4 linked regions of the Notamacropus eugenii genome follow. The protein of the gene in region 2 interacts with the protein of the main gene of each other region in a biochemical or structural test. Links are inferred from orthologs where the notes say so. Each region holds a gene or a part of one and is shown on either strand. Other genes may lie near its edges. The genes, in order: MECP2, SPI1, IRF1 and IRF8.

The links.
Region 1: the proteins of SPI1 (region 2) and MECP2 form a complex in vitro, tested with the Homo sapiens proteins (2 studies listed by BioGRID). The link is inferred for Notamacropus eugenii from reciprocal best matches to the Homo sapiens genes SPI1 and MECP2.
Region 3: the proteins of SPI1 (region 2) and IRF1 form a complex in vitro, tested with the Homo sapiens proteins (2 studies listed by BioGRID). The link is inferred for Notamacropus eugenii from reciprocal best matches to the Homo sapiens genes SPI1 and IRF1.
Region 4: the proteins of SPI1 (region 2) and IRF8 form a complex in vitro, tested with the Homo sapiens proteins (3 studies listed by BioGRID). The link is inferred for Notamacropus eugenii from reciprocal best matches to the Homo sapiens genes SPI1 and IRF8.

The regions. Positions count from the first base shown.
Region 1 is NC_092879.1:23,083,932-23,091,375, forward strand, and holds the start of MECP2 (methyl-CpG-binding protein 2), read right to left. Parts: upstream 3,028-7,444; 5' UTR 2,955-3,027; coding exon 2,902-2,954; intron 1-2,901. UniProt on the Homo sapiens protein: Chromosomal protein that binds to methylated DNA. It can bind specifically to a single methyl-CpG pair. It is not influenced by sequences flanking the methyl-CpGs.
Region 2 is NC_092877.1:3,612,838-3,619,821, reverse strand, and holds the start of SPI1 (transcription factor PU.1), read right to left. Parts: upstream 3,064-6,984; 5' UTR 2,910-3,063; coding exon 2,799-2,909; intron 1-2,798. UniProt on the Homo sapiens protein: Pioneer transcription factor, which controls hematopoietic cell fate by decompacting stem cell heterochromatin and allowing other transcription factors to enter otherwise inaccessible genomic sites.
Region 3 is NC_092872.1:344,799,676-344,807,686, reverse strand, and holds the start of IRF1 (interferon regulatory factor 1), read right to left. Parts: upstream 3,078-8,011; 5' UTR 2,938-3,077; intron 754-2,937; 5' UTR 749-753; coding exon 662-748; intron 1-661. UniProt on the Homo sapiens protein: Transcriptional regulator which displays a remarkable functional diversity in the regulation of cellular responses.
Region 4 is NC_092872.1:700,494,260-700,501,691, forward strand, and holds the start of IRF8 (interferon regulatory factor 8), read left to right. Parts: upstream 1-4,353; 5' UTR 4,354-4,464; intron 4,465-7,432. UniProt on the Homo sapiens protein: Transcription factor that specifically binds to the upstream regulatory region of type I interferon (IFN) and IFN-inducible MHC class I genes (the interferon consensus sequence (ICS)). Can both act as a transcriptional activator or repressor.

The sequences.
Region 1 (7,444 bases), on a different chromosome or scaffold from region 2:
AAAGAAATCAGGAAGTGGCATTTCTCTGAGCTATCAGGACACTCAGAACTCTGATGTCTAATTTACACCACTAATTCAGTTAAATGTATTTTTCAAAGAAACCCCTCCCTAGATGAGGTTTATATTTATTCTATTTAAAGGACCAGGGGTGTGAAGAACAGATGACTGTCAAGGAGGTTGCTGCTCATGGATCTACTTTCTCCATTTCTTAAGTTAGACATACCTCTAACTTGTACAACAATGCCCACTTTGATATGTTTGTATGTATTTATCTACACTTATAAGCAGCATGGTCTAGTGGATAAAATACAAGCCCTAAAGTCAGGAAGCCCTGGGTTCAAGTCCTGCTCCTGACACATGCAGGCTGTGTGACCCTTGGCAAGTCACTTACCCTGTCAGTGGCACCGGCAACTCTCTAAGACTAGAAATTACAGACCACGTTTCCATACCAGGCGTTTCCCACAGAAATGAAACCACACATCCTAACCAAAAACAACAAAACAGTGGTTAGGCTACTTGTCGGCTTAGTATTGTAGAAAGAGTCTGGAGTTGGAGAAATTGAGTTCAAATCTCCTCCTTATGTGTCTGATCTTTTCAGCATTCTCATCCATAACATTAACTGATCTCTAAGGTCTCTTCTTCCAGCTTTTAAACCGACAGGATTGATAAAAAAACAAAACACCGAGAGCACAAGAAGAGTGACACTTTTACTTCTAGCTTGGTTTTTTGGTTTTGAAAGTTTCAAAAGGTTCACAGTATGAATTACTAGGCTTGCTTGACCAGGAATTAAGATCAGGGGTAAAAAACAAACAAAAAACCACCCTGTCTTTTTTTTGTTTTAACTGGGTCGTAGCATATTTTGAAAGACTAGGAATTTGATTTGTTGAATTTACCAGAACGTAGGGATCCAAATGAAAGCTTCACACTATGCCAGTACTATAGTTCTCATTGAGGGCATTAGCTGCCTTATAAATGTTTAATTTAATGAGCCATAGGGGCAAGGTTATATTTCATTTTCATAGCTTAACTAAATCCATAAATCTTATAAAGTTCCTCTGTTAGAAAGTCTAGGTCAGTATGCTTAAGACAGAGCAAGTTTAGTTCCACAGCCATAGCCCTCAGTTCTTACAGAACCCAGCTGTCTCACCCATGCATGCTACCAGTCACAAGGGGTGTGTATGGTTCAGCATAACCAATTTCCACTAGTAAAAATATACAAATAAAAAAAACTGTCTGCACACGTTCTATGGAACAAAAGTCAAGAATGTCTCCTTTGTAATGATGTATATTTGTTGTGAACAAGCTACACTCTTACATACCTAATCTTAAAAGCAGTTGACATATTAGGTGAAAGAAAAAAACTGGTTTGAATTTTATTTGCATTTTAGAGCAATTATTTTTCCTACAGTATCTGTATATATTAATTTCATAAATGGTCTCTGGGATGAGATAAATCTTTTCAGATTCTTCCCAATCTCCTTAAGTCTTCAGTGGAAAGCTGTACACTTTGTACTGAAACCTAAAACCAGGCCAAAGTCACCTAGTTTTGCTAAGAACTTGAAAGTTTACAATCAGTTGGGCCAAGTGTCACATATGAAGGTCTTGATTGCTACTTACACTTCGGAAATTTGAAATGAGTTTCAGTTTGGGGAGTCATTCAAAACTAAACTAGGAACAAAATAAAGATGAAAGAACTAAAGGTAGAGTACATCAGACTGAAGAAACCACTAAACCAGACACCCATTGTCCTGCCTGTGACTTTGCTCCAAATGAACAATTCGAACTCAGGGCTCCAGAGTATGGCCCATCACTTTTATGTAACTGGAAGATTTTGGGTGGTGGGGGAAGGATGTGAGGTGTGCATACCATACTCCAACAGCCACAAATTCAGACATCCCCCAAGATGATGAGAGGCACAACGTGAGGCTCTTCACCAAAGAGCCTCCTCGGCTGCAAGTATCAGAATTGGTGACACTTCCCGAACTGCTTCTATTAGAAAAGGCTGTGTGGGACAGAGGGGACACAATGTACACTCCTCCCTATGGGGTAGGCAGTAATTCCCATCTCCCTCTTCCTGCCACGGGGGAGGGGAGGAGGAGAACTGATAGTCCTGTGGGGACTGGCAAAGATGTTGGGGACGAAAAAAAAATAGGGAGTTAACAGGGCAGCAGAAGAGGCAAGAGGAGGGGAAGGAGAGGGAGGGAGGGAGGGAGATGGGGCTGCTGTGGCGCACTCTTTCGCCGGGGAGTAGGACTAGTACGCAGGCGCAGGAGGGGAGGGGCCAAAGTGGCGGGGGGGGAGGGGGAAAGTCAGAGAAATGGGGGAGAAATGGGGGGGGTGGGGAGAAAAAACAGAGGGGGGAAGGAAATAGGGGGATGGGGAGAAGAAATAGGGGGATAAGAGACAACGGGGGTGGGGGGAAGAGAAAAGAGGGGATGGGGAGGTGATGGGGGGAAGGGGAGGATGGATGGAGGAGCGAGCGCGCGACAGCGGGCGTGCACGAGTTCGAGCTGGGCAGGGAGGGGGCGGGCAGATAGGCCAGGCAGGAGCGCGCGGCCACGGCGCGAGAGCAGAGGACTGCGCGGCGCGGCACGGCGCTCGAGGCCCACCAGCAGCGGGCCGGAGCGCACGAGCGCCTAACCAGGGCCAAGCAAGCGGGTGGGAGGGCGTGCGCGCGCTGGGACGCGCGCCGGGAGGCCGGCCGCCGCGAGAGGCGGGGTGGCACCGACGGAGGGCCCCGGGCTCCAAGGAGGGGGGAGCAAGAGCGAGGGAGGGGGGAGGGAAGGAGGGACGCCATCCACCAGCCCGGCCCGGCTCGCCTCCCCGACCCCGTGGCCCCCGCCCGCGCTGCCTCCTCTCCGCGGAGGGGCCCCCGCCCGCGGCCACAGCGGCGCCACTCACAGTCTGTCCTCCTCGCCTCCTCCTCCTCCGCTCAGCGCGGCGGCGGCGGCCATTTTCCGAACGGCTTTTACCACAGGACTCTTGATGAGGAGGGTGCGCGCGCGCCGCCGACAACCTGGGAGCGCGCGCGCCGCTCCACGTCTCAGCCAGGCCACGCCCTCTCTATCCCTCTAGCTTCCCTCAGTTCCCTTACCCACCACTATCCCGTCCCTTCTTTCTGGGGCTGGGCGGCTCCACCCATGCTCCTTTGTGATTGGATGGTGGAGACGTCATTCTGAAAACTCGTGCATGATTGGCTACGGAATAAGCGAAGGAGGCTGGAGTCCTGATAGCAGCTCCATGAATTGGCGGAAGTTTCTGTCAATTATCGCCCAGGTGGAAGAGAGAGGAAGCCCTTTCTGACTGTTGATTGGATAATGGTAATTTAATGGGACTGCGCCAATTGGGCGTTCTTAGCTGTCGGTTCAGGAAAGTGGGCGTGGCAGGACATTTGGGATGGTCTAGCGGTTGAGATTTGAATATTAACGCTTTTAAGCATCCGCTCTGCTGTTTTCTCTGCTGAAGCATATTAGGATTATGCATTTGTCCCTTTTATAAACCGGCTAATGTCCACCAGTCACATACACACGTACTTGCACGTATAGCCGTCTGACACACACTTTAAACCCATTCATTTAAGTCTATCCGTACCTTTAGGGAAGGCAACCTCTAGAACAAGGATATGGCTTCAGGGTACCCTCCCCTTCCTCGGCCCCACTTCGCACCACTGCAGGTTCATATAAACGCGGCCAAAAGAAACAGGCCACATCAACTGCATTTATGCAGGAGGTGGGCTTTGGTCACAGGACCAGGATAGCATGCACAAAGACTCCTCTTTTCGACCTCAATGTTAGTGGGGCAACTAGCGGACAGAGCACTGAGTTTGGAGTCAGATGCTTCTTAGCTGTGTGACCTTGGGTAAGTCACTTAGTCTCATTTTCCTCATGTGTAGAGTGGGGATGATAACTATAGCACCGATCTCCCAAACTTGGTATGAGATAATTGTAAAGCCCTTAGCACAAGTGCCTGGTCTATACATAGTAAGTGCTACATAAACGTGAGCTGATACGACAGCCTTACACCATGGATCATATGGTATGTTTTTCTAGGATGCAGTTTCCACAGCCAATTTACACTTGCTTGCCAATGACATTCCCATACTGGCCGACTGATCACGATCTCTTTTCCCACACCTTCCCATCTTGGAACCCCTCGATCCTTTCAAAGCTCAGCTCAAGTTCCATTTCCTAATTAACAATAGCTTAGATTTCTATAGAGCTTTAAGGTTTGCAAAACACCACATATTTTTTCTCATTTGATTCTCACTGCATTTAACTATTATCTCAACTAGGCTAAGTGATTTGTCAGGGTCACACAACTAGTCAGGCAACATTTGAATGCAGGTCTTCCTGACTTCTGATAATATTTAATATAAATTTTGGACTTTAATAAGGGCCAAAGCTTGAATTAAGAAGAGTCTGGACCTTTGTTATCTTAAGTAAACTCAGAGAATGCCTTTTGGTGTCAGCAAAGCAGATGGGGCTGACAGTAATTTCCTTAGGAGACCCTTTTCCTGGCATCTTAGTGATAAGGAAAAACACAGATGTCTTGGGTTGTAATTTCAATTGAAACTTTCTTAAAGGTGCCCTTTCATGTGTCAGCAGGAGGCCTGCCATCAGAGTGGTGGGATTTTCTCCTTATCTTATGTCACAGAGACATATGTTACAGAGAGGAAGTTACACAGCTTGGGATCATAACTGACACTACTTTGTTAATTGTCTTACTAAATTTATGATTTGTTCAACTAAGAAAGTTCCTTTCTCACGGCAAAGTGTATTTAAGACAGACGATTTCTGTACCAGGTAGTCAGATTAACCTCTGACTCTGTAATGCTATGTAACTGTTATCTTTAATAGGGAATTGTTTAATTAATTAAATCATAAAATATATGCATTTACCCTGTTGCCTTTTCTCTACAGTTTTCAGGTCCACACTTCCCAAATTACACTGTATTTTACATTTGGTAACATCCATAGGAAATAGGCCATCCCTGGGCTTTCCCCCCCACGTTAAAAAATAATACTAGCGGGAACATTACAGGGCAGCTAGATGGTATCGTGGATAGCTTGGAGTTAGGAAAATCAGTAAGGAGATCACTGCTGATCCCTCCAATTCCAAATGGCATCTTATATTAGAAACAACCAAAGAGATATTTGTAGATGTCACCAGGGTGAAAATTTGTTTAGCTTGTCTATGCATACATGGTGTCCTCCAAAGTCTTAGTAAAATTTTAAGCTGTTGATACTGCACTAAGACTTTGGGGACTCTGTATTGTTACAACAGTTTGGTTGTTCTTTTTGTTTTTTTTCCCCACTGTGGAGTGAGGTGAGGGTAGAAGAGAAAATAAGTGCTTGATAATTTTTAAAAAGTATCTTGTATCTATTTTGAATATAACAAGAGGCAACATGGTGTAGAGGATGGAGAGCGAGCCTCAGAGCCAGAGACGCTTGACTTCAAGCCCCTGCTCTGACACATGATGGCTGTGTGACTGCCCCCCCCATGTGTCACATGACCTCTTAGTGTTCTAGAAAACTCTGTAATTTATTTGCAAAGAAAGTTCCAATCTGCATTGCTAGAAGGAGTTTCCTCACCCTGGAGTTACCTATACAGGTGGTTCTCAAACATTTTAGTCTCAGGCCCTCTTTACCCGCTTAAAAATTATTGAAGATGCTCCCAAAGAGCTTTTGTTTATGTGGGTTATTTCTGTTGTTATTTATGTTAGAAATTAAAGCACTTTAGTATGATGAAAAGATTTTGACCTTGCAGACCCCCTGAAAAGGACCTCCTAGAAGTTCCTGGACAACACTTAAAAACAACTGCCATATACCAATGAAATCACCAATATAGTCCCTTATTTCTTTGAATATACTTGTATTTGCTGGCTTCCCTCCCTAGGTTGTAAGCCCTTTGAGGGTAGGGGCTGTCTTTTGCCTTTCTTTGTATCCTCTTGGATTTTCACTGGGCCTGGCATATAGTGAATGATTAGTAAATGTTTATTGACTATCCAGTCCTGACTAAGGCAAAAGATGCCCTACCCTCTAGGAGCTCACAATTTAATGGGGGAGACAAGCAAACAAACCATATCTAAGATGAAAAAAGAAATAATCAAAAGAGAAGGCACTAAAATGAAAGAGGATCAAGAAAGGCTTTCTGTATCGCTGGACCTAAGAGTTCACAATTGGGAGAAAGGTGAAAGAAGACTGGAAAGGAAGGGATTACAGGTTAGGAGGGCTTTATAAGCCAGAGAGGAATTTCTGTTGGATCCAGGAGACACTGGAGTTTGTTGAGAAGTGACATGGTCAGACCTGTACTTTAGGCAGACAGACCCACCAACTGGCTATTGCAGTTGTCCAAGTGTGAGGTGATGAGGGTCTGCACCAGGGTGGTAGAAGTGGCAGAGAAGAAAAGGGGATGGATGTTAGGTAAGTAAAATAAAAAGGTTTTGGCAACAGATTGGAGGGAGGGAGACAGAGACAGAGAGAGACACACAGAGACAGAGAGATGGAGGAGTCAGAGACACAGAGAGAGACAGAGACAGAGAGAGTAGGGTGAGAGAGACAGAGACAGATATAGAGAAACAGAGACAGAGAGAACGAAGGTGGAAAGAGAGACAGAGAGAGAGAGAGATTTGGGGTCAGACTTATGGAAGTGACTGTCATTGAACTCATACAATCTTTGCACTTATTTCTTTTTTCCCCCAGATGTTTTATTACCTTATTTTTGTTTTTAATTTCATATAAATTTTTTTGTTACATTTTAAGTTCTGAATTGTCTCCTTCCCTCTCCACCCCAAACTAGAGGACACCATTTAACTAAGATGTATATGTAAAACCATACTATTCATGCTTCTATTAGTTCTTTCTGTGGAGGTGGATAGCATTTTCCTTCATAGGCCCTTTAGAGTTGATTTGAGTATATATAATACTCAGAACAACTTAGTCCTTCATAGTTGTTCTTCAAATAATGTTGCTGTTACTGTATACAACATTCTCTGGTTCTGTTCATTTTACCCTTCATTATTTCATGCATGTCTTTCCATGTTTTCTAAAATCAACCTGCTCATTATTTCTTTAAAAAAATTTTTTAGCAAATAGTATTTCATTTTTTCCAATTACATATGAAAAGTTTTCAACATTCATTTTGTATAAGATTGTGAGTTCCAAATTTTTCTCCCTCCCTACCATCTCCCCTTCCCAAGATGCCAAGCAGTCTGATATAGGTTATACATGTGCAATCATGTTAAACATATTTCCACATTAGTCATGTTGTAAAAAAAGAAACAGAAGAAAAGGGAAAAGCCATGAAAAACAGTGCAAATAGTCTGCTTCGATCTGCATTCAGACTCCATAGTTCTTTTTCTGGATGTTGATAACATTTTCTATCACAAGTCTTTTGGAATTGTCTTGGATCATTATGTTGCTGAGAACTAAGTCTATCTATCATA
Region 2 (6,984 bases):
CCACCCTCTCCTGTATTCTCTTTCCCTATCCATCTGCAAGGTGAGGAACTATGACATGAGGGTGCTTCCCAAAGCAGAGTTTAAGTGTGTGTGAGTACAGGACTAGGGGTCCCGTAGAGTCAGAGATCCAAAGACCTTCATACAGATCGGGGTATGGGATGAGGTCACCAGCTATCATGGCCTTAGGGGAATTCTAAAAGGAGCCTAGAGAATCCAGAACTGAAGCACATGTGGCAGAGGTCAGAAGTAGGTGCCTGCTCCTTAGGGGAACAATGGTATCTCCTCCTTGGGTTCAAATCTCCTGCCCCCAGATACTTCAGAGCTGTGTGACCCTGGGAAAATTCACTGAACGTCCCTGTGCCTCAGTTTCCTCCAATGTAAATTGAAGAGTCTAATTTGATACCTCTCAGGTCCCTTCCAGCCCTTCTTTCCCACTCCACTCCCCTTGTTCCCCTCATTCTGGATCCCCATTATGTGGTGTCTTCTCCCATTAGAAGATAAGCTGCTTGAGGGAAGGAACAGGCTTGCTTGTGTTTGTATCTCAAAGCTTACTACAATGCCTTGATTTACAATAAATGATTCATTAATATTCTATCTGTCTGTCTATCTAATCTATCTATCTATCTACGTATCTATCTATGTATCTATCTATCATCTATCTATCATCTATCTATCTACCTACCTGGCTATTTGTCTGTCTGCCTACCTATGCTTGCCTCTACCTCTCTTCCCCTCCCCTCAGCCCTCACTCCTCTCCTCCCTTCCCACTGGTTCTCATGAGGTCTCACAGTCACTCACCTGTCCTCCCCCTTCACACACAGTTAAGTTCACTCTGCCTTCAGGCACCCCCACCTACTTCCAAAGAAAGTATTTGAGGGAGAACATCCACCCTCTCTCACTCCCCTCCCCTCACACCCACACACGTTGTCACACGCCTTGATCACTCCCAGATCCACTCCTCATCCTCACGATCACAGACCTCCCCCCCCTCACCTCGTCCCAGGTCCACTCCTCACCAAATGACACACGCTAGTCTTCTCCTTCAGAACCTGGCCTAGGTATTAGCTCCCAAGGCTGAGAGCTTAAATTGACTTGTCCATTTCCATCACACAGATGGAGATGAGTAAGTCCCTTCTCTGGGCCTCAGTTTCCTCATCTGTAAAATGAGGGAGTGGAACTCTGTGACTCTTAAGGTCCCTTCCAGCTCGAAAGTTGTGCTCCTGTTTTCTCTGAACTAAACCAGATGTGACTTAGGGCTGGGTAGGCCTGGCCCTCAGGCCCTCCCTGCCTGTTCTTCTCCCATGTAGATCTACCCCATGAGAAGCCAGGGTTCCCCCTTTATTCACAAAGACAGGTAATGGTGAAAGCACTAGTAACCCAGGCTTGGGAACCAAAGCAGTTTTGGGGGCAGCCACAGGAACAATGTGGCCTGGAAGAGGCGTCCCAAATGCTCAGTATCCTCCCAATCCCCTGGGAGAAATCCCCCTCCCTAGCTGAGAACCCCTCAGATTCTAGGTTGTGGAGAAAAGCAAGAGATCCCAAGAAGCTGGGGGGGTGAGGTGGGTCAGGACTGAGTTATCTGGAGATTAAGGGCTGAAGTGACATGGGAGCAGAAGGGGAATGGGGGAAGGCCTCTGTGCCAAAGAGTCCCTGAAATCAACAGCTTGGGAAAACGGAGGCTCTTTAAGGGTTGCCACTGAGCCAGAGCCTGAGTCTCTAAGCCTGGCGGCAGTGTTTGGGGTGGGGTGGAATGAGAACCCAGGCGATCCTGTCTTCCGCCCCACCATATCTCAGACCAAGGAAACCTCAGAGCCCAGATCTCCAAAGGGAAGGAGACAGGGTACCAGAATGCTCCGGCTGGATGAGATGACTGGGGGTTAGCCCTGGCTTGGCCTCAGCTCTAGGGAAAGCTCAGACTCCCAAGATCTGCCTATAGGCGCCACCCTGAGTAGGAGCTTAGCCAGCCCAAGTCAAGTGAAGACCGGCTGGGCTGAGCCTAGCAAAATGCCTCCACCACTTCTCTCATTCTCGGAGTGGTTGGAAGGAAAATGAAGACCCATTGAGAGGGTTCCTCTACTTGGTGATATGCCCCAACGGGAGGGCAGGGGAGCATGGTAAGGGTCTGTCTTCCAATCCCTTCCTCCCCCATCCCATTCCACAGCTGACCCCCACCCTGGGCTTCCCTGAGAGCCCATACCCACGTCAGCCTGCTTGTCTTGGGGACCAGTCTGTCTTTGACCTCCCTGAGCACCTACTTTCCCCACCAGCCTCCTGGAATCATAGTGCCTCACCGTAGGGCCAATTAGCCCATCCCCTGCCCCAAAGCTTTGGGTACTTGCCACCTGTTTCTACTTCTACCCCAAAGGGTGCCCCTTTGCCCCTCTCCCTCAGCCTGACTCTCTCTTCCATTCCCTTCTTTCTGGTCAAAGTTGCGAGGAGCTCCTGTTTCACCCATCCACATGCATCCCCCGACTCAGGCCCTGGATGCCCCACCCTCTGTAGTCTTTGCCTCTCCATCCTGTGCTCGGTCTAGTCTTGGTGCCAAGCCCACACAGCTCCAGGTTGGAAATAAGCAGGCAGGGGCCCTTAGCTCACAGACCCCACCACTATCCAGCCCTCAGCACCCACTGGCCTCCATTCGTTCCACCCTCAGTCCCTAAGCAAACCTTCCGACCGTCACTCCATTACCCCTGTCCCAATTGTTTCATCCAGGGCCCCCGGGGAGGAAACACCAGCTTCCCACTGATTAGAAACCAGAGGGGGCTGGAAGAGGAGGGGGAGGGAGCCCCCATACTCACAGGGGACACGAGAGGGAATCCTTCCATCTTGCACGCCTGTAACATCCACCCGATCTCAGGGCCCGTCAGCTCCCCTGCCTCAGCAGGGCCCACTCCGGAGCCCCTGGGCATTGGGAGCCACAGGGTCGGAGCTGGTGGGGCTGGGGGTGGGAGGCGGGCACCCAGAGGGGGCGGGTAGGGTGGTTTTCGAAGGAGCCTCAGTCCTGCCCCTTGGCCTGGCTGATCCCGACGTGAGCCCCCTCCCTTGACATTGCAAAGCAGCCCAAGTTCCTGATTTTATCGAAGGGCCTGTAGCTGGGAGATAGTCCCCCCCAGGGTGACATCACCACCCTAGCGGGTTTGCATAAATCTCTTGCGCTACCGGAAGTCTCTGGCTGGCCCCTGAGGCAGGTGGCAGGAGGAGACCAGCCTGGGAAGGCCACCAGGCCAGAGCCCCCAGCTCAGAGGAAGCAGGCAGCCCTCTGGGGGCTGGGGGGAAGCCTGAAAGGGGACGGTGGGTTCAGGAAGGGGAGGAGAGGGCTGAGGCCAGGCCTGGGAGACCTGGACCTTTCCCCACCAAAGGCCTGCTGGGGCCTGGTGTCCTCCCAGGCAGGCAGTGGCAATGGCTGGTATCACCATGGCTCCCTGGAGCAAAATGACCCTCAGGTCCCCTGTGATATCTCCTTAAAGTGACCTCAACCTGATTCCCATGTGGCAAGCACTGTTTTCATTTAGTTTTGTAGTCTAAAGTTCCTCCTGATTTTAATACTCCATGTTCCATGTTCTAAGGACCTTCCCTGTCCCTGACATGCTATGTTCCTAAGTCCAGTTCTGATGCTCTATGTTCTAAACTTCCCTGCTAAACTCTGATATTCTATGCTCGAAGGCCCCTGCCAGCTCTGACATCCTATGTTGTATGTGCTAAGGTTGCTTCCAGTTCTCATAGTCTGTGTTCTAAGGTACCTTCAAGCCCTAATGTTCTATATCCTGGGTCACCTGAAAGGTCATCTGAAAGAAGGTGTTAGCAGCTGGGCAACATGAGAAAGGTCAGCTGTGGAAGGGGGCTTTGGGGTGACTTTTGAAGGAAGTCATAGAATCGAAAAAGCAGTGGGGAGAAGACAGAATGTTCCAGACTTTGGGGCAAGGGTAGGGGCTAGAGAGGCAGCCACTACAAAAGGATAAAGATTGAAGAGGCAGAGTTATAGGTGACAAAAAGCAGGTGGGCCAGGGCCTTGGGAGAGTGCAGGGGATGGGAATGTGAGAAGGCTGGCAAGGTAAGGAGCCAGCTCTAAGTATCAGGGAGAGAGGAGGTGACTTTGATTGGATTGTGAAGGTAACGGTGAGGCCTCGGGGTCAAGCCAGCACTTCAGAAAAGTCACCTTGACATCTGAGTGGAGGATGGATTAGTATGGGGAAAGACCTGGAACAGGGAGACCTGGGTTCTAAGGCCCCTTGCAGACTAACAGGGGCAGGCCCCTTGAGGGCATCCCAAGAGGTTGGGAGAAGGCTGAGGAAGTAGGAACTTCACGGTGATGAGGGCTCCCGGGGCATGCTGCCCTTGGCCCCCCAGGCCCTTTCAAGGGGAAGCAGTAGTAGCTTCTCTGTGGAACGAGCCCCAGCCTAGGTCACAGGTATGTGGTGAATTACAGGCATCAGTGCCAGCTTTCTCCCTCATCCTATTTCTACCAACTTCCTTTTCCTCAACCCAGAGAACCTGAGCATCATGTATACCAACCTGAGCATCATATTCCATCCTTTCCATCAAAGTCCCTAGGGGCCCTGTTTCCAGACCAGCCCTAGAAACATCCCACTCCCCCAGTTCCATTCCATGACAGCCTTTCAATCAGTTCAGGGGGAACACTACCTAGAAACTTCCTTCCCTGTGATTCATTCTGTTGGCTTGAAAACTCTTTTAAGCTGGAGCCCAAGTAGCTGTTCTCCCTCTCTAGGTCTCATCATCTGCAAGATGAAGAGCTTGGAAGGGAAGATGTTTAAGGTCCGTCCCAGCTCTGACATCCTGTGTTTTAAGATCTCTCCCAGCTCTGACATTCTCTGTTCTAAGACCTCTCCCAGCCCTGACATTCTCTGTTCTAAGACCTCTCCCAGCCCTGACATTCTCTGTTCTAAGACCTCTCCCAGCCCTGACATCCTGTGTTTTAAGATCTCTCCCAGCTCTGACATTCTCTGTTCTAAGACCTCTCCCAGCTCTGACATTCTCTGTTCTAAGATCTCTCCCAGCCCTGACATTCTCTGTTCTAAGACCTCTCCCAGCCCTGACATTCTGTGTTCTAAGATCCCTCCCAGCTCTGACATTCTCTGTTCTAAGACCTCTCCCAGCTCTGACATTCTGTGTTCTAAGGTCCCTCCCAGCTCTGAAATCCTGTGTTCTAAGGTCCTCTCCAGTTCTAATATTCTCTGTCCTCTTCTCTAAGTCTTTTCCATTTCTAAGTCTTCTTATCTGCTGTACTGCAGATTACTTAATGCCAGTTCATTCATGCTGGAAGCACATTGTCCCTCCTCCGCTTCTCCAGGGGTCCCACTCCAAGCTCCCCTTCTCCATTAGCCTTTGAGTAGAAGGCCAGTGTCTTTCTCCTGGCTCCCTTGGCAAGACCCTCCTGAGTCAGGCTCACATTTAAGATCATAGGATCATGGGACAGGACCTCAGGAGACATCTAGGACAATTTCCTCATTTTAAGCTGAGGCCCAGATAATGTGATTTGCTTGAATATCAGAGGTGGACTTTGAGCCCAGGTCCTTTGACTCCAGTATGAGATGTTTAGGGGCAGAGGGTCAGGAGGAGAGGAGATTTAGCTCAGTATAGAAGAGCCCTGGCCTGAGAGTCAGAAGACGTGGGCTCTAGTCCTCATTTTGTCTCCACCCATCTGCAAGATCTTAGACAAATCTCTGCCCCCAGTAGTCCTCAGATTCCTCATCTATACAAGATGCTGACCTTTATGACCTCTAAGGTTCCTTTCGGATCTAAAAATCTATGATGAGCCTTGTGTCTGGCTCTGCTCTCTGTTCATCTGTCATGGGAGTGGGCCCCCAGATAAGAGCCATGCAAGAGTGGGAGGGATCAAGGGTGTGCGTGTGTGTGTGCATGTGTGTGGGCGCATGTGTGTGTGTGTACACATGTACATGAGTCGTGTGAGCTTGTCTGGATGAGCAGTGGTTTTTTCTTGTGGACCGTGCAGTCAGACAAGGGGAAAGAAACAAAATGTCTTTCTCATCATCAGAAAGCTTTTATTCAACATCCATTTGCACCTAGACTTTAGAGCCCATGTCCCAGGAGGTCCCAGCCTTGGAAGCCCAGCATCTAAGAACCTGCACCCAGTATTATGAGCAGCAGCCTAGCCTACCACAGGGAGTAGGGCACAGGACTTAGACACTGCAGACCTGGATCCCTTCTCCGACACAGTTGTCAGAGTAAGTCAGAGCTATTCCAAAGTGGGACGGGGTGCCTCGGGAGGTGAGGGCTGTCCTCTCCTTGGGGGATCTTTGAGTAGAGGCTGAATGGACATTTGTGACGCAGGTTCCAGTGACTGTTCATTTCTTGTATGGCTCAAACTAGATTGCTGCTGAGGCTCCTTCCAACTCCCAAATTCTGCAGCCTTTGATCACGGGCAGACATTTACTCTTTCAGAGCCTCAGTTTTCTTATCTGTAAAATGGCACAGTAATACTTGCCTAGTTCCACTTCTTTGGGTCACCCTGAATGAAGTATCTTATGAACCTTAAAGCACTTTAGAAATGTGACTTGGTGTCATTGTTTGTTAGGCACTGACCAGGGGCAAGACTTTCTGTTTGATGCTGGGTTTTCAAAGGTAAAGAACAAGGCAGCCCTGGCCTCCAAGAGCCTGATCTGGGTGGGAGATGGGGGCGGGCCATGTACACAAAGAAGAGATCCCAAAGAGAAGGATGATTGATTTAGAGTGTGGCCTTTTCATCCAAATGCTCCATTTTAGAGATCAGGAAACTGAGGTTCAGCAAGGTGACAATGACTGGCCCAGAGCTGCACAGCTATTGAATGCTGAGGCAGGAAAACCTTCTTGAACTGAAGTTAAGACACTCTTTCTTAGACACCCTGCCAGGTTGCCTGTCCAAAATATTATAAAGCAAGCCCAGAATTCCTCTTCACACACTCACACACACACACACACACACACACACACACACACACACATACAGAGTTAAATGAACTCACCTCT
Region 3 (8,011 bases), on a different chromosome or scaffold from region 2:
AAATGAGAGGTAGCATGGGGTGGTGGATAGATACAGGTGGGAGGGAACCCAGGACAATCTATGTGCAAGTATTCCCTCTGGTTGTGAGATCCTGACTAGATCTTGTAATCCCCTAATGTCCCAGGAAGCTCCCTTAAATTAAAGATTATGTAAACTGCACCAATTGCTGACTTGTGTTGTAGAGGGAATTTCATCACAGGTCCAGAAAGGAATATACAAGTTATTATTATTCTCCTGCATTAGGAAAGAGCTAAGTAACTGATTAAAGGCTCATTCCTGGTCCTAAAGGTAGAATCACTTCTGGCTGGCTGTTTATTCCTTATAACTCTCAGTCAGAAAGTGTTCTTTGTCTATCTCTGGCATCAAGGATGGGATTCTGCAGTGGCTAAGGCCAGTTTGAGGAGCTCAGAACGCTGGAAATGGGCACCATTGGAAGTTGTTGGTTACTCATAGACGTGGGTCTTGTCTGCTAAAACAGGGGAGATGGGAGTGCCCTTGCGTCCTAAAAGTCAAGAAAAGTGCCTTGCACACTTATAGCATACTCCATACACAATCGGGCCTGGAAAAGCACATTCTTCTGCCTCCTAAACTCTTTCCTCTCCCAGTTCCATTTGGATCTTTAGTTCATAAAACATGAAAAAAAACCAGGTGGGGCTCTCACCTTGTTAATCCAGGTCAGGCCTGGGATTTGGTTGGAATTAATCTGCATCTCTAGCCAGGGTCTCATGCGCATTCTGGCAATGGGCATGTTGTCTGTGAAGCCAAGAGAAAGGCTGAGGTTTAAGTGCTGAAGGAAATAACTGCTCTACGCATCCACCTCCATCCCACAAACACAGGGAGACACATATGCAGCTACAAGGCTGATGCATGCATAGTGAAGACAGTTAAGGCAAGAGGGCATCCTTAACACAGTGCACAAACATTTCTAGTTCTAAGTTCTTCCCTTCTCACAAACAGCCCAAAGGCATGTGAGCCAAAGAAGGGCAGGAAATAAATTGAGAATTTTGTAGAACACGAGATTAAGAGCCACTTTTATGTTCAAATGCCCAGCCTGTCTTTTTTCACTGATAGAAAATTCTTTGTAAAGGCGGGGCCTTCATTTTCTAGGCCACCTGTTGCCAAGAAAAGTATCTCCAGCTATGAATTATCAGCACAGAGATGAACAGTCCACCCTCTCTCCACTGTGTTATTAACCAAACTAATCACTTTGGGCAGCCAGAGATTTTCCTCCCTATTTTGAGAGGGAAGACTTCAACATTTACTAAACTGCTGCAACTGCTCAAAAAGCAGCTTTCTTGATCTGCCTGCCATCCTGCAGAGCGTTAACTATCCAGTCTCTGCAACCCCTATCCCCCCACACCCCCCCTGTTCTAAGGAGGAGCTCGGCCTCCCAGCGAATTAACCTTCCCTGCTTCCTCCAGGAAGCCCCTCCCACGGCTGTTTTGGGGCTACAGTTCGTCGAGCAACTAGTCCCCCAGACCTTTCCCTGCAAGGACAATGTGCCCCCAGCGTCCTGGCATGGGGTCACGGGAGTTTGAGCCTATACACTTGCTTCGCGGGGACAGGTGGCTTTGAGCTGGGTTTTCTGAAAGTTGTAGACTAGTCAGCAACTGGGCCATTCTTCCCAGAATCAGGGGGATGGGCAGGCGGGCCCTCGGTTGGCCTCTTGGGGGCACGTGCAACACAGGCTCCCAGTGGTTCCTAATACCCTCTGGGTGCCCTGGGGTAATGACCCAGTGCTCCTGGGGTTGGGTAGTTTCACAGCGGCGTCTGCTCTGAGAAGCGGCCAGATATCACCACTCTTCGGCCGGGGCCAAATGATCCCAGGATCAGGGACCAAAAGCCCAAGGCTTTCTGGCCTGAGGACTTGGGAAGGGAAATGGTTGGGTGGAGGGAGGGTCAGCGCGTCCCGGCCTTTCCTCTCCGTGGGCAGCTAGCACCCCCTCCCTCCGGGCTGCTTGTCCTCAAACGCCCTCCCAAGGCCAAGCTCCTCAGGCAGAGCAGAGGCGAGCAGCAGCGCGGCTCGGCACCCAGCGCGGCTCAGCACCCAGCCCGGCTCGGGGCTCAGCCCCCAGCCCGGCTCAGCCCCCTGCGCGGCTCGGCACCCAGCCCGGCTCAGCCCCCTGCGCGGCTCGGCACCCAGCCCGGCTCAGCCCCCTGCGCGGCTCGGCACCCAGCCCGGCTCAGCACCCAGCCCGGCTCGGCACCCAGCGCGGCTCAGCACCCAGCCCGGCTCGGCACCCAGCCCGGCTCGGCACCCAGCGCGGCTCAGCACCCAGCCCGGCTCAGCCCCCAGCCCGGCTCAGCCCCCTGCGCGGCTCGGCACCCAGCCCGGCTCGGGGCTCAGCCCCCAGCCCGGCTCAGCCCCCTGCGCGGCTCGGCACCCAGCCCGGCTCGGGGCTCAGCCCCCAGCCCGGCTCGGCACCCAGCCCGGCTCAGCACCCAGCCCGGCTCGGCACCCAGCGCGGCTCAGCACCCAGCCCGGCTCAGCCCCCTGCGCGGCTCGGCACCCAGCCCGGCTCAGCCCCCTGCGCGGCTCGGCACCCAGCCCGGCTCAGCACCCAGCCCGGCTCGGCACCCAGCCCTGCGAGCACGGTGCATCCACAGCAGCCCCGACCACACGTTACAACTCGGCTCTGCGGCAGCGCGGACCCCGGCTCTGCTCTCCTGTCTTTTTTTTTTTAATGGTCTTTACTTCCTGGTGTGCGGAAAGAGACGCCCGAGGCTCGAGCAGAGGCAATGACAGGGGCGCCTAGCTGGGAGCGCGCCCCTCCCCCTCCCCAACGGGTCAGCCCCCAGCCACAGACCTCCACCGATCTGCTACTTTCTGTCCCAGCGCTCCTTCCAGGGGCGAGGGAGGAGGGATGGGGCTGCGGACACGGTCGGGCTGAGGCCCAGCTCTCCCAGAGAAGATCGCGAGCTCGAGGCCCCGGTTACCTGGGTCAGGGGCCCACGCCGCCGCTGCAGAAGTCTGGCTCGGAAAGCTGGAGCTCGCCTGGTCCCCAGTGTTCGCCCGCCTAGCTCTGGGCCCGCTGTCGCCTCCCGCGGGACAGCTCCAGGGGCTTCAGGCGGCGAAGGGTAATCTGGGAGCCCGCCGGCCCTGCTCCAGGGGTGCCCGGCCGCGGAGAGTCAGCAGAGTCGGTGGCACGGATTCTGCTCCGGTCTCGCTCTCGGCCTCCTACCTCTTGGACGGCGCCTTTCGCTCTGAGCCTCGGTCCTGGAGCCGGCCGCGAAGACTAAACATTGAGCGGGATTCCCCCGCTCTGGGCAGAGCCGGTCCCCGCCCAATGAGGAGCCGCGCCGCCGCTGATTGGCTGAGCAGAGAGCATCATTTCGGGGAAATCAGGCCGTTGTAGCGCTAGAGGCTAGGGGGGAAGTCCAGCTCCTCTTTCCCTCCCCAGCTCGCTTGCTACATCTCTCTCTGCCTTCCTCCCTCTCTCCCCCTCTCACCGCCTCCGCGGGCTACGGACACACCCCCAACAGGCAGTCTGGCGTGCCCGGGAGAGAGACACCCTCAGGGATGCGAGCTTCCAGCTGCCTGCCCTTAGGGAAAAGGTGGCGAGAGGCCCCCAGGAAAACCCTGCTCAGCATTCTTCATTTTCACCCCAGACTTTGGAATCCTGCACTTCTACACAATTCTCTTGTCATCTTTTCTCAGCACTTTCCCGACCAAGGTGAGACAGCAGTCAGGGGTGTTGCCCCAGGGGGAGGGTGCCAGAGACTCACCTTTCTCTGGAATGTGGTATCTGCCACCTTCAGGGGCCACAGAAGCCATTGTACCAGGAGTTTCTACTTCTCACCTTGCCCCCTGATTCCATATAGTGTTAGAGTTGGATGGCAGATCGATCGATCTATGTTTGTCTGTCTATCAATCAATCAAATTAAACTTGAAAGTACAAAACTTCAGTCCTGGTGTTGTTACCCTGCCTATATTACAGATTGTTGTGAGGAAGGCGTTTCCGTGAATCGCAGAACACTAGATGTGAACTCTACAGGCAGCCTGTTCTCCATCACAATGTCTCTCAGCTATAGAATCGGCTTCAGTGTACTGAACTCCTCCATCCCTAGTGATGTGGGTGTTGGAGAGGCGGAAGCAGGATGAATCCACTTTGCAGTTCAGTACAAATCCAGAGTAAAACAGTAATCTGTTTGAGGGAGATGTCAGATTCCCCTCCCCCATCTTTCTCCTTTAGCACTCCTTCCAACTTCCATTCAGTCAATAAACATTTATTATATGCTTACAGTGTGCTGGACACTGTGATAAGCACCAGAGATCAATCAATAAACATTTATTAAGCACCTACCATGTGCCACTTGCTGCTGTGTTCAACTTTTCTTGATCCCATTTGAGGTTTTCTTGGTAAAGATACTAAAGTGGTTTGCCATTTCCTTCCCCAGCTCATTTTACAGAAGAAACTGAGGCAAACAGGCTTACGTGATTTGCCTGGTGTCACACAGCTAGTAAGTGTCTGAGGCCAGATTTCACCTCAGGAGGATGAGTCTTCCTGATTCCAGGCCTAGGCTCTATCCACTGAGCCACCTACCTGTTCACAGTACGTGCCAAACACTGTGCTAAATGATCGGGGTAAAAAAGGGGCAAAAGACAGTTCCTACTCTCAAGGAGCTCACACTTGAATGAGGAAACTCATAATCAGCCCCCTGACTGAGTAAAGTGTGTCTCGGAGACAGCAGGGGGTTGATTTCTCCTTTTGATATTTCAAACACTTCACATTCTATCTCCAACCTTACCTTTTTCCAAACTTACTGCCCATCAATCTCCTTCATACCCTCTGCTTCTCAGCTAAACTGGTCTTCTTGTTGTTCCTAGCACACAGCGTTCCATTACCCTTCCCTCCTTGTCCCTGCCCAGGTGTACCCCTGTACCTGACAATTTCTTCCCTTAATCCTCAGTTCAAGTGGTCCTTCCTGCCTCACTCAAATTACTGTATATTTATTTTACATATATTTTATAATTCTTTATCTCAGTATATATTATTTTCCTCCAACAGAGGGGTAGGGATTGTTTCATTTTTGTCTTTGGGTACCCAGCACTTAGCACTGTGCTTGTTGAATGTTGAATGAAATTGTGGAACAGCCTCCCTTGTAGATCCTTTGTCAAGGGGAGAAGCATAAGCCTCTAACAGACCTGAAGATGTACTGTGTTGGCCCTAGGGGCCATCCCCAGAGGGAGAAAGCTCTTGTAACTTCAGAGGTAAAAAAGAAAAGATTGAAGCATGTGTATACAAAGATATGTATGGCATGGAGAGTATACTGGAGGGCTTCAGGTGCCTGGATATCCACGAGTGGATCTTAGTGTGGTACAGTGGAAAAGGGCACTGGATTTGGTGTCAGAAGATGTACATTCAAATCCTACCTCTGTAACCACTATTGTGATCTTCAGGAAGTCACTTCAGCTCTGTAGGTCTCAGTTTTCTCATCTGTAAAATGAAAGAGTTGGACTAGATAGCCCCAAAGTTTCTTTCCAATTCTATATCTATGTTCCTATGAGATGAGACTGGATGAGGAGGAACCAAGGCTTCTCTTTTTTATTACTTGGTGTCACCTCAGAGGGACTAGTAATTGAGCCAAGTTATAACCCATTAACCTGGATCAAATTTCAGGCCAATGATGTTGCTGTCACACAATTAATCTCTGTGGTATTTGACTTCCTGATACCTTGAGTTTGACCTTGCATTCAGATGACCCCAGCTAACCTAAGCCCTTCAAACTCCCGAGGATTTGCTGCTGATTAATAGTTAGTCCCAGAGACTTAACTTATCTGTCCCTCATTGTTCCTCCAGACTGTTACAATTTGTGGCCAGAAATAGATATTTTCCCCCTTTTCCATGTATCACTCTATCAGTTTTGTCCTTCCTTTGCAGCACGTTTTTACTTCACTGAGCCAGCATTATTAAAGCCAGGTCTGTGTGGTCTCTCTCACCTGTCTGGTGTGGTGAAAACAAAGGATGTTCTGGAATTAGCTCCAACAGGTCTAGTGAGAGCCTATTGTTAAAATTTCAGTATGAGCATTTCCAACACTACAAATTAGGGCTTGTTTTATTGTTTTGTTGATTGTCTAGAGTTAGAAAATGTAGATTAAACTTAAAAGTGAGTCCTGTATGTATTTCCTGCCCCTTTTCTCCTCAGCCCAACCAATTGTTACCAGCAAATTCCTGATTTGAAAGAGGACTGTATTTCAAGTCATGGACCCAAGTCAGATTGTATTTGAGTCCCAGTTCTGTTATTTGTACCCTGCATAACTTTTGGCAAGTAATTTAACCTCTCTGGGCCTCAATTTCCTCATCTGTAAAATGGGAGGGGAGAGAGTAGATCAATGGTATCCGGTCCTGGTTGATTGTTTTCCTTCATGCTCAAAGAGAATCAAAATGACATCACTATGTCAGAGTCAAGGTACCATACGTCTGACTGTGGCCGATCAGACAAGTAAGAGCTTGCAAGGCTCTACCAGAGGTTGGGTACAAATAGTTCATATGAATATTTGGAGTGGAGATGTCTCCAAATTTGCACAAGTATATTTCCTTTGAGTTATTGCAATTCTGCTTTGCTCATAGAGTGCAGCACCTTATTTGATGAGGGCACTCCATGCTGGGTGGTCCTATATTCTAGTGTCTCCCATGTCTCATAATAAAGTCCAAAGTTCTTCAAAGAGACTTTGAGGGTGGCCTTGTATTGCTTCTTATGACCTTGTGTGAATTCTTTGTGAAATAGTCTTTTAGGAAAACCAATGTTTGGCATTCAGACAACATGGACAGCCCATCAGAGTTGTCCTCTGCAGTAGAGTTTGAATGCTTGGCAGTTCAGTTCAAGAAAGGACCTCAGTATTGGGTACCTTGTCCTGCCAGGTGATCTTGAGAATCTTCCTAATTCAAATGGAAGTTATTCAGTTTCCTGGCATGGCACTGGCATACTGTCCAGGTTTCAGAGATATACAACAATGAGGTCAGCACAACAGTTTTGTAGACCTTTGGATTTCCAGGAAACCTAATTCTTTTCTCTCGCATTTTCCTTCAGAGCCTCTCCAGCACTGAGCACTGGCAGTATGTGTGTCAACCTCATCATCTATGTGTACATCTCTAGAAAGCATACTGTGAAGGGAAATGAACTTATCCACAGCAGTCAAAATTTCTGTACATAATGTACAGAATGTACATTTGGTACATAATGGTTCTACATATAGATGGTGTTGTGCTGGCTGGTAGAGAAACTTGTTGGTGTTAATTGTCAGGCCCAAACTGGCACATGCTGCATAGAATCAAGCCATACTCTGTTGCATCTCAGCTTCAGAGGCTGCATTGAGTACACAGTCATCTGCAAATAAAAAATCATGCACCAACTCTCCTTACGTTTTAGTCTTCGTTGAAAGTGCTGATATCATTGAAAATGAAAAAGCATGGGAACAAGCACATAGTCCTGCTTTATTCCACTGGTGACTGGGAAAGTGGGAGAGGATTGTCCATTATACAGAACCCATGCAGGCATGCTATCATGAAACTCGTGTAAATACTGCTGAACTTCTTTGGGAAACCAAATTTTGCCATGATCTTCCCCATGCCCTCATGACTGACAGTATCAAAGGCGTTGGTCATATAGACATACACTATGTACAGCTATGTCCTAGCTTTTCTGCTGGAGTTGTCAGGCAGCGTACACCCTATGGACTGTTCCTCAGCCCTTTCTGAAGTCACACTGACTTTTGGGTATATGACCATCTTCCAGGTGAAGGATCAGCCTATTAAGGAGGACTCTGGTAAGAATCTTGCCAGAAATGACTAAGAGAGAGACTCCCCTATGATTGTCACAGGATGACCTATTTCCTTTTCCTTTATAGAGATGGATAGTGGAAGCATCCTTGAGTTTCTGGTGGGGAGGGGATAACTTCCTCTTACCATTTAACCTGGAAGAGTTCAGTCAGCATTTATATGAGCAGTGAACCCCTTGCTTTGTAAATCTCAGATGGAAGAGAATCAGCAGCAGGCATTTTGCCACACAA
Region 4 (7,432 bases), on a different chromosome or scaffold from region 2:
TTTTAATCCTGAAGTATGAATTTGTCACTGTTCAGTCTCCTCCATTAGACTGTAATCTCCTTGAGAATAAGAATTGTATTTTGTCTTTCACTGTATCCCCTGTCCTTAGCACAATGCCTGGTACATTTTATTTTTGAATAATTTCAGTTATGTCCAACTGTTCATGACCCCATTTGAGGTTTTCTTGGCAAAGACACTGGAGTGGTTTGCCATTTTCTTCTCCAACTCTTTAGGCAGATGAGGAAACTGAGTTTAAGTGACGCCCAGGGTTACACAACTAGGAAATGTCTGAGGCTGGATTTGAACTCAGGTCCTCCTGACTGTGGGGTCAGTGCTCTATCCACTGTGTCACCTAGCTGCCTTTAGAACACAGTAGGTGCTTAATAAATATGTATTAACTGACTGTGTTACTTTTGCTAGTTATTTACATTTTAAGTATTTCCTCTTGCTGAGGAAAAGATAGTTATCTCTTCTATTAAAGTTTTTCAAGGATGGAGAAAGATGTCCCAAGGTTCTAACACATATTAAGTACATAGCTTCCACTTTAAGTCATGTATAGAGTTCTCCACTCATGCTTATATCCCACATTGACCTTACAACATTCAGGGTGAATGTACAATAGTGGTCTATGGCTTGAAAGTCCCTAAGATACAGGACAGAGGATTTTTCTGCAGAAGCTAGAGTCTCAGAATGTGTTGTCTCTCCTCGCGTTCCCAAGATTCCCTTTAGTATTCTTAGGAATAGAAAAGGAGGGAAAAAACACGAAAGAACGGAAACTTTAGGGGATTATTGTTTAGGCAATCAATCAGTCCTCAGTGATTTAATGGTTCACTGCATGAAGAGAGTTGGATTACAGAGGGTTCTGAGGACACAGTGCCAATAATGTCACAGCTAATCTTCTATATCAATTAGACAGACCAGGGTTGGGGAAGCTGCAGCCTCAAGGCCACGTGTGGACCTCTCGATTCTCAAGTGTGGCCCTTTGACTGAATCCAAGCTTGACAGAACAAATCCACCTCGTAAAAGAATTTATTCTGTAAAAGTTGGACTCAGTCAAAAGGCTGCACCCAAGGACCTAGGCCATATGTGACTTCAAGGGTGAAGGGTCCCCATCCCTGGACTAGACAAAGAAAGGGCAGATGAGGGTAAGAGACCCTGGAAAGCTAGAGCCTTCTTTGGAGAGTTTGATCAGGAAGATGGGGAGGTTAGCATATGATAATTCACTGAAAAAATGAAAGTGAAGGATGAGAAGTCTTAGATGGGACATAATCACACTATTCAAAGATCTGACCATGTGTCATGTGAATGAATGAAGGGATGACTGATAGAGGGAAGGCCAGCTTGGTGGTATAGTGGATAGAGTGATAGACTTAGAGTTAGCAAGACTAGAGTTTGAATCCTGATTTAAGACCTTACTAGATGTGCCACTCTGGGTAAGTCATTTAACTTCTCTCAGCCTTAGTTTCATCACCTGTAAAATGGGGATGATAATAATAGCACCTACCTCCCAACATTATTTTAAGGATCAAATGAGGTATGCAAAATGTCTCAAAACTTAAAACAGCTTATAAATGCTAGTTATGATGATGATGGTGAGAATGCTTTTGTTCCACGTATTCCAATGGGAAGGAAAACTGGGACCCATGGGCACAAGTTATAGGTTAATAGAACATTCTAATTATCAGAGCTACCTAAAAATGAACAATGCTTCTTGAGGAAGTGAGTTCTTCCTTATCAAAGGTGCTTGAGAAGAGGATGGGTGACCACATATGGGAGATTCTCTATTTCAAATATAGAATCTTATACTCCAAGTTCTATGAAATAGAGACAAGAAAGATAAGCTGGATTGGAAGCAGTTTCTAAGGCTTACAGAGAGGTTCAGGCATAGATGAGGCGTAGGCTCTTGGGGAGAGGAATAAGAGATGGCTCCCAGCTTCCCCTGATTCTTGCCTTTTAATGTGCCTCTAGAACATATGTAATATGAATGTGCCATGGTAGCCAAAAGAGTAAGTGAACTCTTAGGTTAACCAAGAGAGATGCAGTGTTCAGCACAAGAGACTGGATTGCTTAGTGGGAGGCTGATCAGACCACAGCTGAAGTGTTGTGCTTAGTTCTGGGTCAAGGCTAGCTGTTGCTCCTGTTGAGATTTTCTTTCGAAATTAAAAAAAATGAAAAAAAAAGAAATTAAAAAAATGAAAAGACATAGTAAAATATATGCATATTTAAGTAACTGACATTTATTTATAAGAAAGATAATTGTAATGAGGATAAATAAATACTGCAGATTACCCTAAAGAACAGAGGTAGTAAAGGCAGGGCATAGTAGTATACATCTTTAATTTGATCATATGATCTAGGCTGTGCTGCTTACTCATTGAGTATAAGTCATTTCATCTTAGTTGAAGCCTCTGTTTTCTCATTGGTAAACCTCAGGTAAGAATGCCTGAACTCCCCAACTCATGGATTACTGTGAAGAAAATAATCCTTCATAAATATGAAAGCTCCATATAAATGTCGACTATTATTGTTGTATTTCTTGGCCTCAGTTTCCTCATCCTTAGACTAAAGGATTTGTACCAGATAATAATAAAATTTGTTTAAATCACTTTAATTTGTCTCGGGAATAAGACCTCTGAGGGTTAATTGGGTCACAACTTCGTTAAAACAACGTAGAAGTATTTTTCCCACCAGGCTTGCAGCATTACTTTCTGGAGTTCAAGCTGGGATCATGGTAATTAAAGAGGTTAGAGGTACCACTTATTGATGTAAAGTATTTTGAATATATGCTTGATGGTCATAGTGCCTTCATTTTTCTCAATTCAATTCAATTTAATTCAATTCAGCAAGCATCCCACCATGTGCAAAATGCTAGCATCTAATTTTATGGGACCAGCTATGATGTTGTCCTTTAAGGACAAGCCTAGCTAAGCAAAAAGAAACTCATTACCAGGACCTTGGCCACTGGTTGATTTGGGGGTGGGAAGGGGGACAACGGATCATAAAGACCATCTACTAAGCCATGGAGAGATTACAATCATAAAAATGGCAAATCCAGTATCTTTGCCAAGAAAACCCCAACACAAAGAGTCATATATGACTAAAAACTACTGAACAATGACAATTTTCAAGAGATTGATGACTTTTACAGTGTTGGTACCCCCTCCACTACTAGAGACTGTAATCTGATAGGTATAGTGTGGTACCTCAGAATCCTTTTGATTTGCATCTCTCTAATCAACAGAGATTTAGAGCATTTTTTTCATATGACTATAGACAGCTTTAATTTCTTCCTCTGAAAACGGCCTGTTCTTATTCTTTGACCATTTATCAGTTGGGGAATGAATTGTATTTTTATAAATTTGACTCAGTTCTCTCTATATTTTAGAAATGAGGCTTTTACGAGAGACACTGGTTGTAAAAATTGTTTCCCAGCATCCTACTTCCCTCCTGATCTTGGTTGCACTGGCTTTGTGTGTGCAAAAAGTTTTCAATTTAATGTCAGTATTGCTACCCCTGTTGCTGGTTTTTTTTTTTTTACTTCAGCTAGGGCATAATATATTCTGCCTCAGCCTTTTATTTTTACTCTACATATTTCCTTTTGCTTCAAATGTGGTTCTTTTAAACAACATATTGTATAGAATTATGTTTCTTAATCCACTCTGCTATCTGTTTCTGTTTTATGGGAGAATTCATGCCATTGATATTCACAGCTGTGATTACTCTCTGTGTCTTTCTCAGAAAAGGTTTCTTGAAGAAGGTGGGATTTGGGCCCAACTTGAAAGAAGTCAGGAAACCAGAAGGTTGAAGATGAGGAGGGAGAGAATACCAGTCCTGTTTGAAAAGCCAATAAAATAGCTGCCAAATGAATGGTACATAGAGTTAATGATATAAGGGTTTAGCTTTTAGTTTTAAAGTAAGTTCTTAGGATAACTCTTCTATTTTATATTGCCCAAATTTCTTTCTGTTTATCCCTTCTTCTCCCTCTTCCCAGAGAGCTGTCTCATATCATGAATAATTTTTTAAATTAAAAAAAAGAAGAATAAAAGGGAAATAACAAGTAAAACCAATCACTAGATTGAAAAAGTCTTGAAATGCACATAATATTCTGGATCTTTGGACCTTGCACCTCTGCAGAGGAGTGGGAGGGTGTGTCTTCTCATATCTCTTTTTTGTGTCCATGCTTGTTCTTTGTAATTTTGCAACATTCACTTTCGGCTGGTCTGTCATTGTTGCTGTTTCCATAGACGTTGTTGTAATTGTTTCACTTATTATTTTCTTGGCTCCACTTAACTTCACTCTACATAACTTCTCGGAAGTCTTCCCATGACCCTCCTGGCTGTACTTCTAAGTCATGGTACTTGCCTTAGCATGGAACTTTGCTCGTTGCATGGGGTCTTCTCCCTCTGGAATATCCATCCGCTCTTGAAGTCTTCTCACCAACATCATCCATCCTTTACCTCATTGGTGAGTTCCTCCAGAGACCTCCGTTTTGCGGACAGTCCCAGTCTGCCCAATCTGCATTCCCCTTCCAGCTGTCCTTCTGGCTCTTCAGACTTTAACTCCATGCCTCAGATTCAATCTCACCCTGAAATCTGCCGTTTTCAGCTCCATTTTCTGTGTTATCTTTCTCCGTTAGAATGTAAGCTATTTGAGGACAGGAACTGTTTTCTTCTTGCTTATATTTGTAGCCCCTGCACATAGTATAGTATCTGGCATATAGTCATCACTTAGTAAATATTTATTACTTTACCCTGTCTCATCATGCTTCTCTATATTCATCATATTTGTGATTTCTTATTGTTGAGTACTTTTTCAGTCCTGGCTGACTCTCCCTGACCCCATTTGGGGTTTTATTGGCAAATTCTGGAGTGGTTTTCCCTTTCCTCATTTTACAAATGAGGAAACTGAGGCAAACAGGATGAAGTGACTGTTTCAGGGTTACATAGCTAATAAGTGTCTGAGGTCGGATTTGAACTCATGAAGTTGAGTCTTCCTGACTCCAGGTCTGACACTCTACCCACTCAGCCAATTTTTAAAAATAAATTTATTTTTAGTTTTCAACATTCACTTTCATAAGTTTTAAATTTTCTCCCTCTCCTTTCCCCTCCCCAAGATGATATGCAATCTGATATAATCTGTCAGTTTTTTACAGCGCATTAATATATTCCATTACATTCATGTAACATGATATGGTTAGCCATTACCTAATTGATGGGCACCTACTTTCTTTCCATTTTTTTGCAACCGCAAAAGTGTTGCTATACATATGCTGATGTATATGAATGTTTTCTTCTTGTCAATGACCTCTTTGGGGTAAAACAGTAATGCGATAGTAGTTTGGGAGAGGGTAACATCACTTCAGGCTGGAGTGCTTAGGTGATGAGTCCTGAAAAATGAGTTTGGTTTAAATAGGCAGGAAGGAGAAAGGGCATTTTATTTGGATTCAACAGCCTAAGCAAAGACTGGAAAACATGAGGGTTTCTATTTTGAGGGAACAGGGAAGAGGGCAATGCAAGTGGAGAGGTAAGGTTTATATAAAGGAGAAGGGGATCAGGCTGGAAACAGATCCCAGAGGGTCTTGAAGGCCAGGATAAAGAAGTTGGATCTTGTTGTATAGTGAATGGGCAGCCATAAGAGATCTTTTTTTTTTTTTTTTTTGAAAGGGAGGGTTATTCAGCATTGACTTGGAACAAAATGTCTAGGAGAGAAGGCTGTGAGAAGGCTCATGACTTTGAGGGATTTCCCAAGCAGCTCTGAGCTGATCATGTTTCTATTTTTATGTCCTTAGTTTTGGCTTAAAAGAGATTTTGAAATGCTTTTTTCAGGATCTGGTTCAGTTGTGGAAGAGATCTGTATGGCAAAAATCCTAGTGGCTGCTGCCAGCCTGCTTTAGCTGTTTAGGAGCTGAGTTGCAAGGATAGTTGATGTGGGAGGAGAGGAAACTGACCTGAGAGAATAAGGGATAGATTTAATTTATGTTTTTTTCTGGCAGATGGCTGAAGAGAGGAGAAACTGAATTTAATAACAGGGGAAGGAGAAAGGGTAATTGGTTTAAAATTTTTATTTAATATCCTAGGAAGAGGACAAGGCGGAACGATTCTAGCAGTGGGAAAAGAGATAGAGGCTTTGACTGTAGCAGTGGGAAGAGATTGAGAGTGTCCTTGAGAAAGTAGCAATAGAAAATAGAAAAGAGCAATCGAGCTAGACATAGTTGTTTCAGATGCCTTCTCAGAATCCCAGCATAACACAGAAGTCAAGCAGAAGTCTGCAGGTTTCCCTCAATTGTTAGGGGTGCATATTGATGGATATCTCTCAGGCTCTTATCTATGTATGTCTGCATAGTGGACTAGTAGATTTAGAAACAGAAGACCTATATTTGAATATTCTTTTGGAGGCAATCAGGGCTAAGTAACTTGCCCAAGGTCAGACAGCTAGTAAGTGTCTGAGGCTGGATTTGAACTCAGGTCCTCCTGACTTCAGAGGCGGTGCTCTATGCACTTTGTCCCCAGTATTTGAATCTTAACTCTGCTAGCTTCCAGCTGAGTGATGTTGATAATTTGCTCAATTTTTCTGGGTTTCAGTTTCCCCTTCTAAAGATTAGATTAGAAGTAGGTGATCTCCAAGGTCTCTCCCAGTTCTAAGTCCTGTGAACCTGGAGTCTTTCTTCTCCTACCTGTCACTGTTGTTTGTCTTCTGTTCTTGAAGAAAACCATGATATTAGGGATGTGATGCCCTGGAATGCAAGTGAATGAGCTTACAATCCAAAGATCTGAGTTTGAGTGTTGGCTTTGCTGCTAATCCATCTTGGAGACTCACGTTCTTCATCTGTAAAATGGGGACAAAGCCAGCTTCCCTATGTATCTTCTGATTTGTTGTGAGAATCAAATTTTTATATCTGTCTGTCTATTTATCTGTCTGTCTATCTATCTATCTATCTATCTATCTATCTATCTATCTATCTATCTATTTATCTATCATCTGTCTGAATCAATTTGTCACTGAATAGTGAGAAGCCCTCTAATGTGATGTTCTTGTTTTATATAAGTATATATATGTATATATGTACATATATATACCCATATTAGAGCAGTGGAGACTGAGAAACATGGAAGGACTTGGGGTTCTCTCTGACTTCCTGGGTTTTTTCTATTTTGGTGGCCAGCTAGGTGTGGTGGATAGAACATTGGGCAAATAGTCAAGAAAACCTGAATTTCAATCTTGCTACTTACTAGTTGTGTGACCTTGAACAAGTTACTTAACTTCTCCCTGCCTCAGTTTCCTCATCTGTAAAATGAGCTGGAGAAGGAAACAGCAAACCACTCCAGTGTCTTTGCCAAGAAAACCCCAGATGGGACTAAGAAATGAATACAACTGAACAACAGCTCATTATGTATCTTGTTTGTACAATTTTTTACATGTTGTCTTCTCCATT